Nothobranchius furzeri: one gene and its partners. The protein of the gene in region 2 interacts with the protein of the main gene of each other region in a pairwise test. Links are inferred from orthologs where the notes say so. Each region holds a gene or a part of one and is shown on either strand. Other genes may lie near its edges.

What was found.
Region 1: the proteins of nrip1b (region 2) and calcium and integrin-binding protein 1 interact in a two-hybrid assay, tested with the Homo sapiens proteins (2 studies listed by BioGRID and IntAct). The link is inferred for Nothobranchius furzeri from reciprocal best matches to the Homo sapiens genes NRIP1 and CIB1.
Region 3: the proteins of nrip1b (region 2) and rorb interact in a two-hybrid assay, tested with the Homo sapiens proteins (2 studies listed by BioGRID). The link is inferred for Nothobranchius furzeri from reciprocal best matches to the Homo sapiens genes NRIP1 and RORB.

What each region holds. Positions count from the first base shown.
Region 1 is NC_091744.1:74,253,994-74,257,651, forward strand, and holds calcium and integrin-binding protein 1, read left to right. Parts: upstream 1-1,459; 5' UTR 1,460-1,671; coding exon 1,672-1,722; intron 1,723-1,965; coding exon 1,966-2,000; intron 2,001-2,095; coding exon 2,096-2,195; intron 2,196-2,306; coding exon 2,307-2,460; intron 2,461-2,541; coding exon 2,542-2,660; intron 2,661-2,767; coding exon 2,768-2,856; intron 2,857-2,939; coding exon 2,940-2,961; 3' UTR 2,962-3,131; downstream 3,132-3,658. Other genes in the region: RCC1 domain-containing protein 1, read right to left, coding at 3,260-3,426. UniProt on the Homo sapiens protein: Calcium-binding protein that plays a role in the regulation of numerous cellular processes, such as cell differentiation, cell division, cell proliferation, cell migration, thrombosis, angiogenesis, cardiac hypertrophy and apoptosis.
Region 2 is NC_091750.1:42,800,856-42,805,170, reverse strand, and holds the start of nrip1b (nuclear receptor-interacting protein 1), read left to right. Parts: upstream 1-1,502; 5' UTR 1,503-1,729; coding exon 1,730-4,315. UniProt on the Homo sapiens protein: Modulates transcriptional activation by steroid receptors such as NR3C1, NR3C2 and ESR1. Also modulates transcriptional repression by nuclear hormone receptors.
Region 3 is NC_091757.1:36,863,293-36,867,537, forward strand, and holds the start of rorb (nuclear receptor ROR-beta), read right to left. Parts: upstream 2,828-4,245; 5' UTR 2,488-2,827; coding exon 2,481-2,487; intron 1-2,480. UniProt on the Homo sapiens protein: Nuclear receptor that binds DNA as a monomer to ROR response elements (RORE) containing a single core motif half-site 5'-AGGTCA-3' preceded by a short A-T-rich sequence.

The sequences.
Region 1 (3,658 bases), on a different chromosome or scaffold from region 2:
TGGTCGGTTCGTCTCTCAACGCGATTGACAAAATTTTTTCAACGATGTGAACGGGAGAAGGGGCTCCCGGATGCCCCTCTGGGACAGAGCCAGCTGGGCATATCATGGACTCCTGGAAACAGTGGAACCTGATCTGCCTCGCTCAACTGTCTGTAGAGGATTCTGAAGACGTCTGGATATTCGTGGTGTTGGTGTCAGGTTTCGTGCTTTTTGGCCTGAGTGGTTACCTGACTTACCGGAAAATTAATGAGCTGTCGAGGAATATTGGCTCGCTCCCGGAGCTCAGGGATGGATTACACCACGCTGTGAACGCATAAACTCATATAATTGTCGAGATGAGTCGTAAGCTTGGAACTTTGGCTGAGATTCAGACTTTGGCACAGAAGGTGGATTTGATCAAGGAGAAAGTTGACGGATCAGCACGGATTGGGATAGATAAATTACGCCATTACTGGATTTAGAGGGGTTGAGGACCAACAGAACTTTAAGACAGAGAGGAAATGATCTCTGTCTGGCCCCAAAACAAGTTCTTATCTGAATCTGGTGTCCTTGAGCCTGTGAGGCTGAAGAGATTACTCCCCCTCAGAAGAAATGTGGAATGCTGCCATCGCCATGGTAACTCTGTCTCCCTATCCCAGCCTGGGCGGGACTGTGACCGGTGAAGGCCGTTGAATCGCTCTCTAAACCCAACTACCTCCCTCCCCTGTCCAAACAGAGGTGACGAGCGCTGTTTATCATGGCTGCATGCACTGATGTGTGGACAGTCCCCAACCCTACCTCCCCACCTAGTGGACACTTATGTTGTGTAATGTTTGAAGTCTGTTGCATTTCTGTCTGAGGTGTTTTTTACATAGCGAAGCTGCCCCCCTGTGGAGGGTAACTCTGAAGTGCCTTTTTTTTCCTCCACCTGACTCAATCCTTATATATAAACCCTCTGATCTCTATTAAAGTAGCACCACTCGGGTTGCGAATGACCACAGTCACCAATTCTTGTCATGTGTCTATGACTATGTATATATGTCTGATCTCAGAATTGTGTGAACTGAAACTCTAATGTCCCTCTGGGATTAATAAAGTATCTTTGAATTTGAATTGAATTGTCTTTCATAAGATGTTTTTTAAATACTAGTATGCACTGAGTAAAATTAGCATATTTTCTCACAGTGAATTACCTAAGAATTTTCATAAAGCTAAAAGGATAAATTATCAAGTTTTAAATAAAAATGAATGGCAAGTGCTTAAAATAATAAAAGTGCATGTTTTTTCTTTACAATTATAATAAAATTATAATGCACTGATATGAAGTATTTTTGGTTTTAGATAATTCAATAAAAAACAGACCATTTCTTAAAATAAATGCTCCAAAAGTTTTTAATATTTGACAAATAAATAGTTGTAACACCAGGGTTATCAGAGGAAAAGTAACTTAACGTGTGTGCTCCATGAAAGGGGCAAAAGAAATGTTTTTTTATTTTACGTCATTTCAGCGTTGGCATTACATGAACGCGCCCAAAGATACGGGAATGCGCCTGCACGAACCCGGAAGTAAGCAACAACAAACTAGCTTCGTCGCCGCTCACCGAGCAGCGGATTATTATTGACCACAGTGACATTTTAACAGTCTTTGCTTTCAAATATATAAGTCAAATATTTTAATCGAAAAAGTTTGAGATGGGAACTACAGCGAGTCAACTCGGAAAGGCTGACCTGTCAGAATACCAGGTAAGTGTTTATCGTGTTATTTGCTGTAGTCCAGCAAATGCTGAAAACTTAGTTTTACAGAGTATATTTATACTAATCACACTTATCAAAGGTTTTGAGATAAATACGAAATTAGTCAGAATTTCAGCCAGGATAAGAGCAGACGCTTGTTGCATAGAAGCTAAACGTTGGTAATGCTGATAGCTTTGAATCAGAAAGGGGCTTGTTTTGACTTGTACTCATCTACAGTACATCTGATTTTAGGAGCTGACTTTCCTGACTAAACAAGAAATTCTTCTGTAAGTTACAGGTTGTATGACAACTAAGAAAATGTAAACTATTCTTATAGATCATGGGATAGATGTCTGATTTATTCCTGTTTTTTCCTAATAAGTGCTCATAAGAGATTCACTGAGTTGCTCCCCAAAGAGGAAAAAAACTCAACAAATGCCAGAGTTCCAATGACAAAGATTCTCACGCTGCCTGAGCTGAAGGTAACAGGAAATTTCAGTAGAAGTGTGGCAACGTTTCTATTTATTGGTGTAATCTTTATAGAGGAAGTGGATGATCTAATAAAGTGAACTTTGAACTTGTTCTCGTCCTAGTCTAACCCTTTCAAGGAAAGAATCTGCCTGGTTTTCTCAACAACTAACCCAAACGATGGAAGCTTCAGCTTTGACGATTTCCTGGATTTTTTGAGTGCCTTCAGTGACTCGGCTACGTTGGAAATAAAATCCCACTATGCTTTCCGTATATTTGGTAAATGTTGATAAAACACGAGCTGGTCAGTTTTTTCTTAGCTGCACTGATCTTGTCTGATCATTAGCTTTATATTTTCAGACTTTGACAATGATGGGACCCTCAGCTGTGGCGATCTGGAGAAGCTGGTTGACTGCTTGACTTATGAGTCGGAAGACTCGCGTCTAACCACTGAGGAAATGAGACAGCTCATAACTAATGTGAGTTCACTTCGACTGTTTTTTTTCTCTCAAAGATGCAAGAAGCACACTCCAAAGAGATGCTCTGAGGCATCATCTGGGCACAAATGAATCTTGCTTTTGTTTAGATCCTTGAAGAGTCAGACATCGACAAGGATGGGACGGTGAATCTCTCGGAGTTTCAGCATGTCATTTCAAGATCTCCAGACTTTGTCAGGTGGTTTTCCCAAAATAATATCTGACACATAAATCTTGAGGAAATGTTTTCTAATCATCACAATTGTTTTTTTCCCCCCACAGTTCTTTCAAGATTGTGCTGTGAGGCCTTGGAAATGGCCAACTTTTAATTTTGTTTTTAGTGAAAAACTATACTTGCCTTTAAATTTTACTTACTTCTGGATTTTACTCTTATGATTTTATGAATTGTTTGTGAAATTTATATATATATATATATTTTATAACATCTTTAAAATAAAAGTTTAAGGTATTAGATTACTAAAGTTCTTCATTGACACAAATAATTTATTACAAAACATTTTCCACAGCGTAACTTTCTGATGTAATTTAGACTTCCTTGTACGCCGACCAAAGTCCAACGTGGGGGCAGATTCAGGGGATTGTCAGGTATTTTTGAGATCAAGTACTCCCTTCTTGACGGCGGCAGTAAAAGTGTTCCACGGCCCACACACCACATCGACAACATGCAGGTCCTTGGCCTTAAAAAACTCCACACGTCGCGGTTCGTCTAAACTGTTAAATGTCTGGTGTCCAAGTTGGCCGTATTCTCCTGGGGGACAAGAACAGAAAAAGAATAGCTTAATATTTGCTGATAATATATTAAATTTCAATTTGAGTTGATATCCTGTTGTAAGAATAGAACAACTTTATTGTCTGACACCAAGCGGTTACAGAAATTTGTCTTTAAGAGGGCTCATCGTCATCCACCTCATCATTCACACTTTCATAGAACAGTAAATACAATAAAAAATCATAAAAAACTAAAAACACAGATATAAGCT
Region 2 (4,315 bases):
TGTGCCGCCGGCTACTTCAGCTGATGATACGGTGGCTGGTAAGGGTCACCGCGCCTACACCGCAGCCACGGTAAACCCACCAAGATAATATAGTTTTTTAAAAAACAAGACGGTTATTATTATTGTCAACTTTTTTTTTTTTACCGGGGTTTACCGCTACACTGGTTACCGTGACAACTCTACCTGATCGGTTTGCTTTGATCTATTTTGAAAATTCCGATCAAAACCGATAGGGGCGCTATCGGCCGATTACGATCAAATGCCGATCCATCGGTGCATCCCTAGTTTTGGTCAGGTGTAGAGCAAAAAGGTGCAGCTCCTTCCTAAAAAGCAAATAATCTCCAATAGAAAATAAGAGGATGCTTAGACTTTTGCATTGATGTTACTAATTTTTTTAAATCACAGCTCATCAGATCTCCAGACTTGATCCTGTTCATTATGGCCCAGTAGTTGCTGCTTCAGAAACCTTGTGGTTTGATCAAGGGTAACTTTCCACACATAAGCGTGGCCCGGCTGCCCTGTCTTTAGCACAAAGAGCTTTGTGTCTTCAGCTGATCAGCCATTTAACGTTAAACGTGCTAATATAGGCTTCTGAGATGGAGCTCCTTGTGTCTGTGATGATTTTTCTCTTTGGCATTGTGTTAACACGCGCCTGAGCTAAGACCTTAATTATTAAAGACATTATGCAACAATTCAGATGTATTCACCTAATACTTTATACTTGTTTAATGCCCAGAGACTATTTCACGGTGTCCTCTGTGTTTTCAGACTGTATGTCCTCATACTTCTGCTCATTCGTGTATTTAAGCAAGCGTGCTTCTGTTGGTGGGTGGGTGGCTCTTACTGTAGCTAGATGAAGGGTTGTGTGGTTTTAGATGAAGCTCAATTGCAAACGGAGTCGGGGGGGGGGGGGGGGGGGGCTAATCCAGTGAAATGGCAAGCTGCATAAAGAATTATGCACAGCTCTCAGAAGGCCCTTCACTTTTGAAAGACACAGCCGTGAGAGGCTTACAGCTCAAGACCTGAATGTTTTCAAGGTAGTGAGCTTGAATTTTCAATTTGAATCCAATCAAGGCTCATCTACATGTGTTGTGTGTTGGGTGGCTGTGAGGGAAGAGTGCAGAGAGAAGGAGCCGTGTGCAGTCAATCTGAAATGTTGCTAAGTAACAGCGATGGCAGACAAGGTGGGGAAATGAATGTGATATAGTGCTCTGCAAATCCCTGCTTCTCACATGGTTTCCTATTTTTCCCCTTTTTCCTTCCCCCACCACCCCTCCCTGTTTTCTCTCTATCTCTCACTTTTATAGATCTCCCCCCTCAGCTGTGAGCTCTACAGAGACACCACTGACAGAACAACAGACAACCATGGAATGCGTCAACATCATGGTGGTGGATTCCTGCTGACTCCTCGCTTGCTACTGGCATCAACCTGAATCTTGGCCTTCTGGGGTCCTGCAGCGTTTATAGGCATACAGCAATGCCTTGGAGGGCCGCCTGCCCCAGATTGCTTCCAGGCATGGTTGCTTCTTCAGCACGTTGCTGCTTGTAGCCTCTTCAGAACGATCCAAGTCCAGCGAGCGCATCCTTCTGCTCTTCTCTGTTCTCACCTGGCGCCAAGACCGGCCCTCTTTCTGGTGACTAACCAGTGCATGACTGAACCAGATGACCCAGATCACATTTATTTTCCAGTAGCAGTGCTAAGCAATACGAGGGGATCTGAGTATTGAACATGACTCATGGGGAGGAGCCTGGCCCTGAGACACACAAGGATTCAGCTGTTCTAACTTATCTGGAAGGTTTACTGATGCATCCAGTGGTGGCCGGGCCTGGGGCCACAGCAGGCGGGAGGTCCGAGGCTGTCCACAGCAATCAGCAACAGGGCAACAAGGTGGGGGGGTCCTTCCCACTAACTCACCATGCTCCAATAGCGCCCAAGGCTGGAACTAATAGACCGACTCTGGGTTCCTCACAACACCTGAAGAAGGCTCGCCTGCTGCGCTCCGGAGCGTGGAATGATCCGGGGAACCAGCGGCTGAGTTCACCCCCCATGGACCTGAATGGCCAAGTGGGAGGCCTGCAAAACGGAACGCTGGAGGAATCCCCTAATGCTGGAGAGAGCACCCTGTTGGCATCTCTGCTTCAGTCATTCACATCACAGCTTCAGAATGTGGCATTGTCTCAGAACACTAGTAAACCCACCAGTGAGTGTCCATCTCCAGCCAAGGCTCCAGCTGCAGACAAAGAGCCCCTACCTGTTTATGGGACAGCCTCCAGCCGCTTGAAAGGCCTCATGCGGAAGAGCAAACTACAGAATCACAACAACACCCCTTACAGCCGCCGTGGACACAGCCAGGACCGGCCACCAGAGTCCCCTCGATCAGCACACAGCGCCACGCCTCCTGCTGCTCCTGCTGAGTCGGTGTCCTGTGCTGAGCGTTTGAAAGCAGTGGCTAACTTGGTGAAAATTCGTTCTAGCCCCGCCCCCTCACCAAAGCCCAGCGTGGCCTGCAGTCAGCTTGCTCTGCTGCTGTCCAGCGAAGCACATCTGCAGCAGTACTCCAGAGAGCATGCTCTCAAAGCCCAGCTCTCAGGGAGATCAGCCAGCGAGAGACTGGCTGCAATGGCCAGCCAGCAGCACGACACAGACAAAAGGCCTCCAAGTGTTGGGGGGTCTCCAGACACACTAAGCTCCTTAGCAACTCAGAATGGAATGACAACTACCACGATGATGGCAACACTCCCTCGGACGGCAGTGTCCAGTCCTCAGAGCCCATCCCTGCTGCGTGGCCACAGCCAAAGCTCCCCACCCGCTGCTCCCCACGCGCCGAGCCAGCCCCCCAGAGAGAAAAGAGGCTTTGATGCTCGTCCAGTCCGCCCACCGCAGACATGCAGCAGCTTGCTGCTGCTGCTGCTGAACAACCACAACAGTCAGAAGCAGCTGACCAAGAACGGACACCTGGAGGACATCGGTGGCCTTCTGCCTCCAAGCGGCTCCTCTTCTGTCACGTCGGACAGTGAATGCTCCACCCATGAGAGAAGCATGACCAAGGACAGCAGTGATGCTGAGAGCTCCTACTCCAGCTGTTCCCCAATTGACCTCTCCATGAGAGGTCGTGGCAGTGCTAGTGCACAAGACACTGGGCCCAAAAATGCTCCCTCTTCTTCCTCTTCCGTCACCTCTGTGCTCTCTTCCTGTACCATGGTGCTGTCTTCCACCCCAGCATCATCCTCTCCTCAAGCCAGTGCTCAGCCCTCCACTTCATCCTACTCACCTTCTTCTTTGACTGTCTCCTCTGTATCCACTGCTATTTCTTCATCCTCGTCCTCCTCCTTCCCTACCTCCTCCCTGGACAAGCTAACGGAGTCTTTAATAAACAAGTGGAAACCAGAGCCATCCAGATCAAACGTCTCCAACAACAAGGAGCCAGAAATGAGTCCGGACCTAAAATCCCACCCGAAGGTCACTCTCATGCAGCTGCTGCTCGAGCGCAGGAACTCTGAGATGGCTAGCAAAAGCAGCGGGACACAGGACTTGCCTCTTGACATAACTATGGCCACCATGTCTCAAAGTCAGCAGAAAAGACTGATGTCCTGGGAGGAGAGCAGAACCAGAAGCTCCATAGAAAAGTCAGCAGGTCCGCCCCAGTCCCTCTACTCTTTTAGTCAGGACCCGAGTGGTGCACTTTCCCCGTATTCTTACCCCTCCCCCCATGTTCAGTCCAGCCCACTAGATTTGTGTAAGTCTAAAGCCTTCCCAGCTGAGAGGTCCTCAGAGCCAGCCTTTAGTGCCAGTAAACTGTTGCAGAATCTGGCCCAGTGTGGCACCACCACCTCCTCCTCCTCCTCCTCCTCCACCCCGCCCATCCCCTCCAGCAAAGGCCTGGGCCAGGAGATCGACACCAGCAGGCCCCTGGCCTTGATGGAAAGACTTAATGCTCCAGTCCACCGGACCAGCACCACTCCACTGTCAGATGGAGCATCAGGCAGCGGCACACCTTTCATTCACAAGGAGCCGTCCACTCCCTCCTCACAGATCGAGAACCTCCTGGAGAGGCGCACTGTGCTGCAGCTTCTTTTAGGAACCGGGTCGGCCGGCAGTACCACCAGCCGCAAAGACAAGTCCAGTGGTGGTTACCGGAGGAGTACTGAGGCAGCTGGGGGGTGCTACGAGACCAGCCCTGCCACCACTGTCCTTTGTGACAGCTCTAACGAACCTATCTTAGATGTGAAGGTAAAGTCTGAGCTCACAGAGGAGGCGGGGCCACCTCCTGCCAGGTCTGAGGACTTTAGCAGCAAAAAGAGACTGAGTGGCTGT
Region 3 (4,245 bases), on a different chromosome or scaffold from region 2:
TAGAATATTGAACCTTTTCACAATATTCTAACTGTCTGAGACTTTTAATTTGGAGTTTTCACAAGCTGTAATCATCACAGTTAGAACAAAGGCTCGAAATCTCTGGTTTTGCATGGAATGAGTCTATCTCATGTATTAGTTTCCCTTTTTATGATGAATTACTGAAATTAACACACTTTTGCAAGATATTCTAATTTTTGAGTTTCACCTGTATATAGAAAAACTTTCAACCTGGAATGTTGTGCATTTTTAATTACATAGATTCAATTTATTGCTCATTCTAGTCAAAATAAATAGCAATAATGTTGTTGGGGTGAAGGTGGGGATGGGGGTGGGGGGGTGGGGGGGTTAATTAAACAAAACTGAAGAGTTCATTTTTGTTAAAGCAATTATATTTTAACAGTTTAAATTACATCCAGCTGCTGTTTGTAATATCATTTATCTTTACTTTTTTGGAACAGCATCCACAACACATAATTTATCGTCATGTTACAAAAACAGTTATCCTCTTTGAAATAAGAAAAAAAAAAACGGTCCATGTCCTCAGAAGCTGTGAATGTCCTTATGATAATATCATGTATGTTATTTTTCTGGCTGTTCCACACCGGGTGATGCAGTGACATCATCTTCGGTAAGGGCTTCAGGAGTTGTAGCTTTTGTTAAATGTTAATTACCACGGCTCATGAGAGGCCTCTATTTTTTATAACCTTGGTTGTGAGCACATTTCTGTGTAAGGGCAGCCAACACACACACACACACACACACACACACACACACACACACACACACACACACACACACACACACACACACACACACACACACACACACACACACACACACACACACACACACACACACACACACACACACACACACACACAGGTTGGGAGCGGAGGCCGCACAGCCCTCACTGATTTAATTCTATCTGACAAAACCCTTTGGGGCGTGCAGAGAGAGAGAGAGGAAGATGGATAGTGAGCGAGAGAGAGAGAGAGAGAGAGGAAAGAGTGGGAGAAAGAGGGAGAGAGAGAGAGATGCTGAAAGAGGGGTGAGGGAGACGCTTCAGGGGCCTCTTCTGCCAACCACGGCTATAAAGTGAAAGCAGAAGCTTTCTGTGTGCACCCCCCGCCCCTCAAAGCCTCCCGTGCACGAGAGTGGACGCAAGACCCATTAGGACGTAGATAAAACACAAGGTGGATGGCAGAAGAGTTTGTCATGGGATTATGGAGAAAGAAGGAGAGGGGCGAAGGGGGTGTTGAACTTCTCATGGTTTTACTTGGTCAGGATGCATGGCCTGACGCTAGCAGTTATGTGACCATAAAACACAAATCCATTCTAGATAGATAGATAGATAGATAGATAGATAGATAGATAGATAGATAGATAGATAGATAGATAGATAGATAGATAGATAGATAGATAATTAGCAGGAAATGCTTTGAATTAAACTTTATTGCAGCCTCTAATTGGACCTTTTCAAGAAATGTGTTGCTAAAATATTTACTTTTTTTTTCATGAAAATAACTGACCAGTTCCGTATAATGATCTCATTGTTTTAGTGAAGTTTTCTAAAGTGAACCTGTTTGTGTTGAAATTTCAGTTGTTTTTATTTTGACAGGATAGCCTTTTTGTTTCAAATGTTTTTCTACTTCAAAAGTCAGACACTGGCACTGTGAGAAGTTATGATCTGATGATATGATTAAAAAAAGATTAATTAAACTTTATGGAGCAACAGCCATTCACCAGTGAGCTGGATATAATTTCACACAGAGTGGAAAGTCCACGTGAAAAAGAGAAAGGGCCCTGAATGAGTCAACAGTTAAAATATTACCGGAAAAACGAAAAAAATAATTACTTTTTTCTGACTGATAGTGAATTTAACTTAGAGGAAAGGCTTGAGTTGTTGACCTGTGGGTCAATGAGCGGCTCGGTGTGTGAGACAGCGCGCGCGTGATAGTGCGCGCACAAGACGACATTGACATTGGAGTTCAACATCCACGACGCACCGCAGCGCGTGGAGAAATGGGTTAGTGGGGCGCTTCAGAGTTCCCCCCACATCATTCAATAAAGTTGATCACCGGACTCACGGACAATAAAATAAATTATGACTCAGTGATAACCTGATTGGACCTGAGGGCAGTCAGACCGGTGTGTGGAGTTCCACGCGTCATGCGCCACTTTTGCTTTGTAACCAAAGTGGATTTAGGTGTTAACGTGCAGCTTAAGTATTGTCACACTTGGGGCCAGAACGAAATTCTGGGAAATAAATCGAAAAAGAAAACTTTTAATATTGTTTATAAAGGCAGAAAAATGCAATAAGATACAGAGAAGCAGATGTAAATATTTATAGTGAAGTGACAACAACCCTTCATAATGAAACAGAATTAAATAATGAAATTAGAATAAAGTTCTAATTTTAATGCGGAGTGTCGCGTGCCGTGCGCGTCTCCAGCTTGTGGGAAGCGCTGTGGTCTTACCTCGCATCGTGTTGGCGTTGCTGGAGCTGGAGCTGGTGCTGAGGCTCGCTTCCCAAAGCAGCAGTCATGAAGAAACAAAAATAAACTCTTTTTAAAAAGGTGGAGGGGGCTGCTGCTGTGTGTGCGGGAGAAAAGATCCTCGGTTAAAAATAACAACGAAGGCAAAAAGAGCGTAGACGGTGCGCGTCAACGTCCACCGGCTGCACTGATTGGAAACGTGTCTGCGCTAAAAGCATCCCAGACTGGGGCGCGATGAGGTCGGTCGGCGCGTCGGTCGGAGTGCTGTGGTCGTGTTGCCGCTGTTCTCATGACATCTGCGCTCTCACATCTACGGGAGAGTTTCACTGTTTTCTGCGGGCGGAGGGAGGGAAGAGCGCACAGGAGCGGCTTTACCCGTCGGCCCGGATTGGACTGGAGCACTTTCCGCTCCTCCCACTCTCTCCTGCAATCTGCCTGCAGCCTGGAGCTTCAACACGCACGCACACACGCGCGTACACACTCATACGATGAGCACAGTAAAGTTTTATCATCATCCACATTGAGTCAATCCCATCATTTTCTATTAAAAGTGTTAAAACTGTTCAAATAATTAAGTCTGAGGATACTTTTGGTGCTTTTGGTTCCAAGGTGCACAAAAATAACATGAGGAAAACAAAACCCATTACCTTCCAGAAAAGCACTTAATTGATGTCCAGAATTAGAGTTTTGCTGCAGGGGTACAAACTGCATCATCAGGACAACTGCTGAAACCAATCTGCAGTCACAACAATGTGATCTATGCATAAAACATACACTTTATGCATGGAGGCATTTAGCTGTTTTCATGCAATAGTTAAATGCAGATTACGGTGAATAGATCTGTGGCAGAAAGACGAGCAGCTCAGATGGCATGAATTGTCTCATGTGTCCTCAGGATGGTTATCGGGGCGCGGTCCTCCTTTCCAACACTAAATAATGACAAGGAAACTGAGAAAGTAAAGTTGCATGTTACAGTACGGACCACCATTGCCCTGTGAAATGACCGATCCAGTGAACGCCTCGGGGCATTCTGGCTTGTTTTCTGGCTCCACTTCAAACAGAAGAAACTCAGATCCTGATTGTTCAAATCTGATTCAGATCAGTGGTTCACAAACTTTTCATCTGACAAAATAACCTCAGATAATTAAACAAGGTAAACAAGAGTATAAAGAGAACTAGCCAATTATTTATATCTTTTACACAAGTAAAGGGAAAACAAACAAATAAGATATGTTTTTAAATTTTTTAAAATTTAATTTAAACTAGTGTTTTGTGACCCTGAGGGGGTCCTGATCCCAACTTTGGGAATGTGGGATTTTGATCATTTAACTTCACTGTTACTTTCATTCTTCATCTGTTCATTCTGGTCTGCAACAGAGTTTCTGCTTTGAATGGGACTTTTTCTTCATCTGGAACATCCGTGTTGATCTTATAATCATGAACACACTTGACTATTTAGCTGCAGCCATCATAAGTTAGTTGTTACAGACCCTTGACTAATATAAAACTTTGATTAAATGAGATTTTTCCCCAAAATTATTTCATTTATTCTAATTTATTATTTTCTGTTTGTGCTGATGACAAATGCAGCAATTTAAAAGGAACGTCTAAAGATTTTAGTTATTTTTATTCATTTTTAACTTCAGAAAGCAAAACAAAAAAATACTTTCGGGTCCATTGTTTTTAACGAGAATGTCTGAGGGAGGTTTGAGCATGGATAGAAGCAGGTGTGGGTGAGAGCCACTTT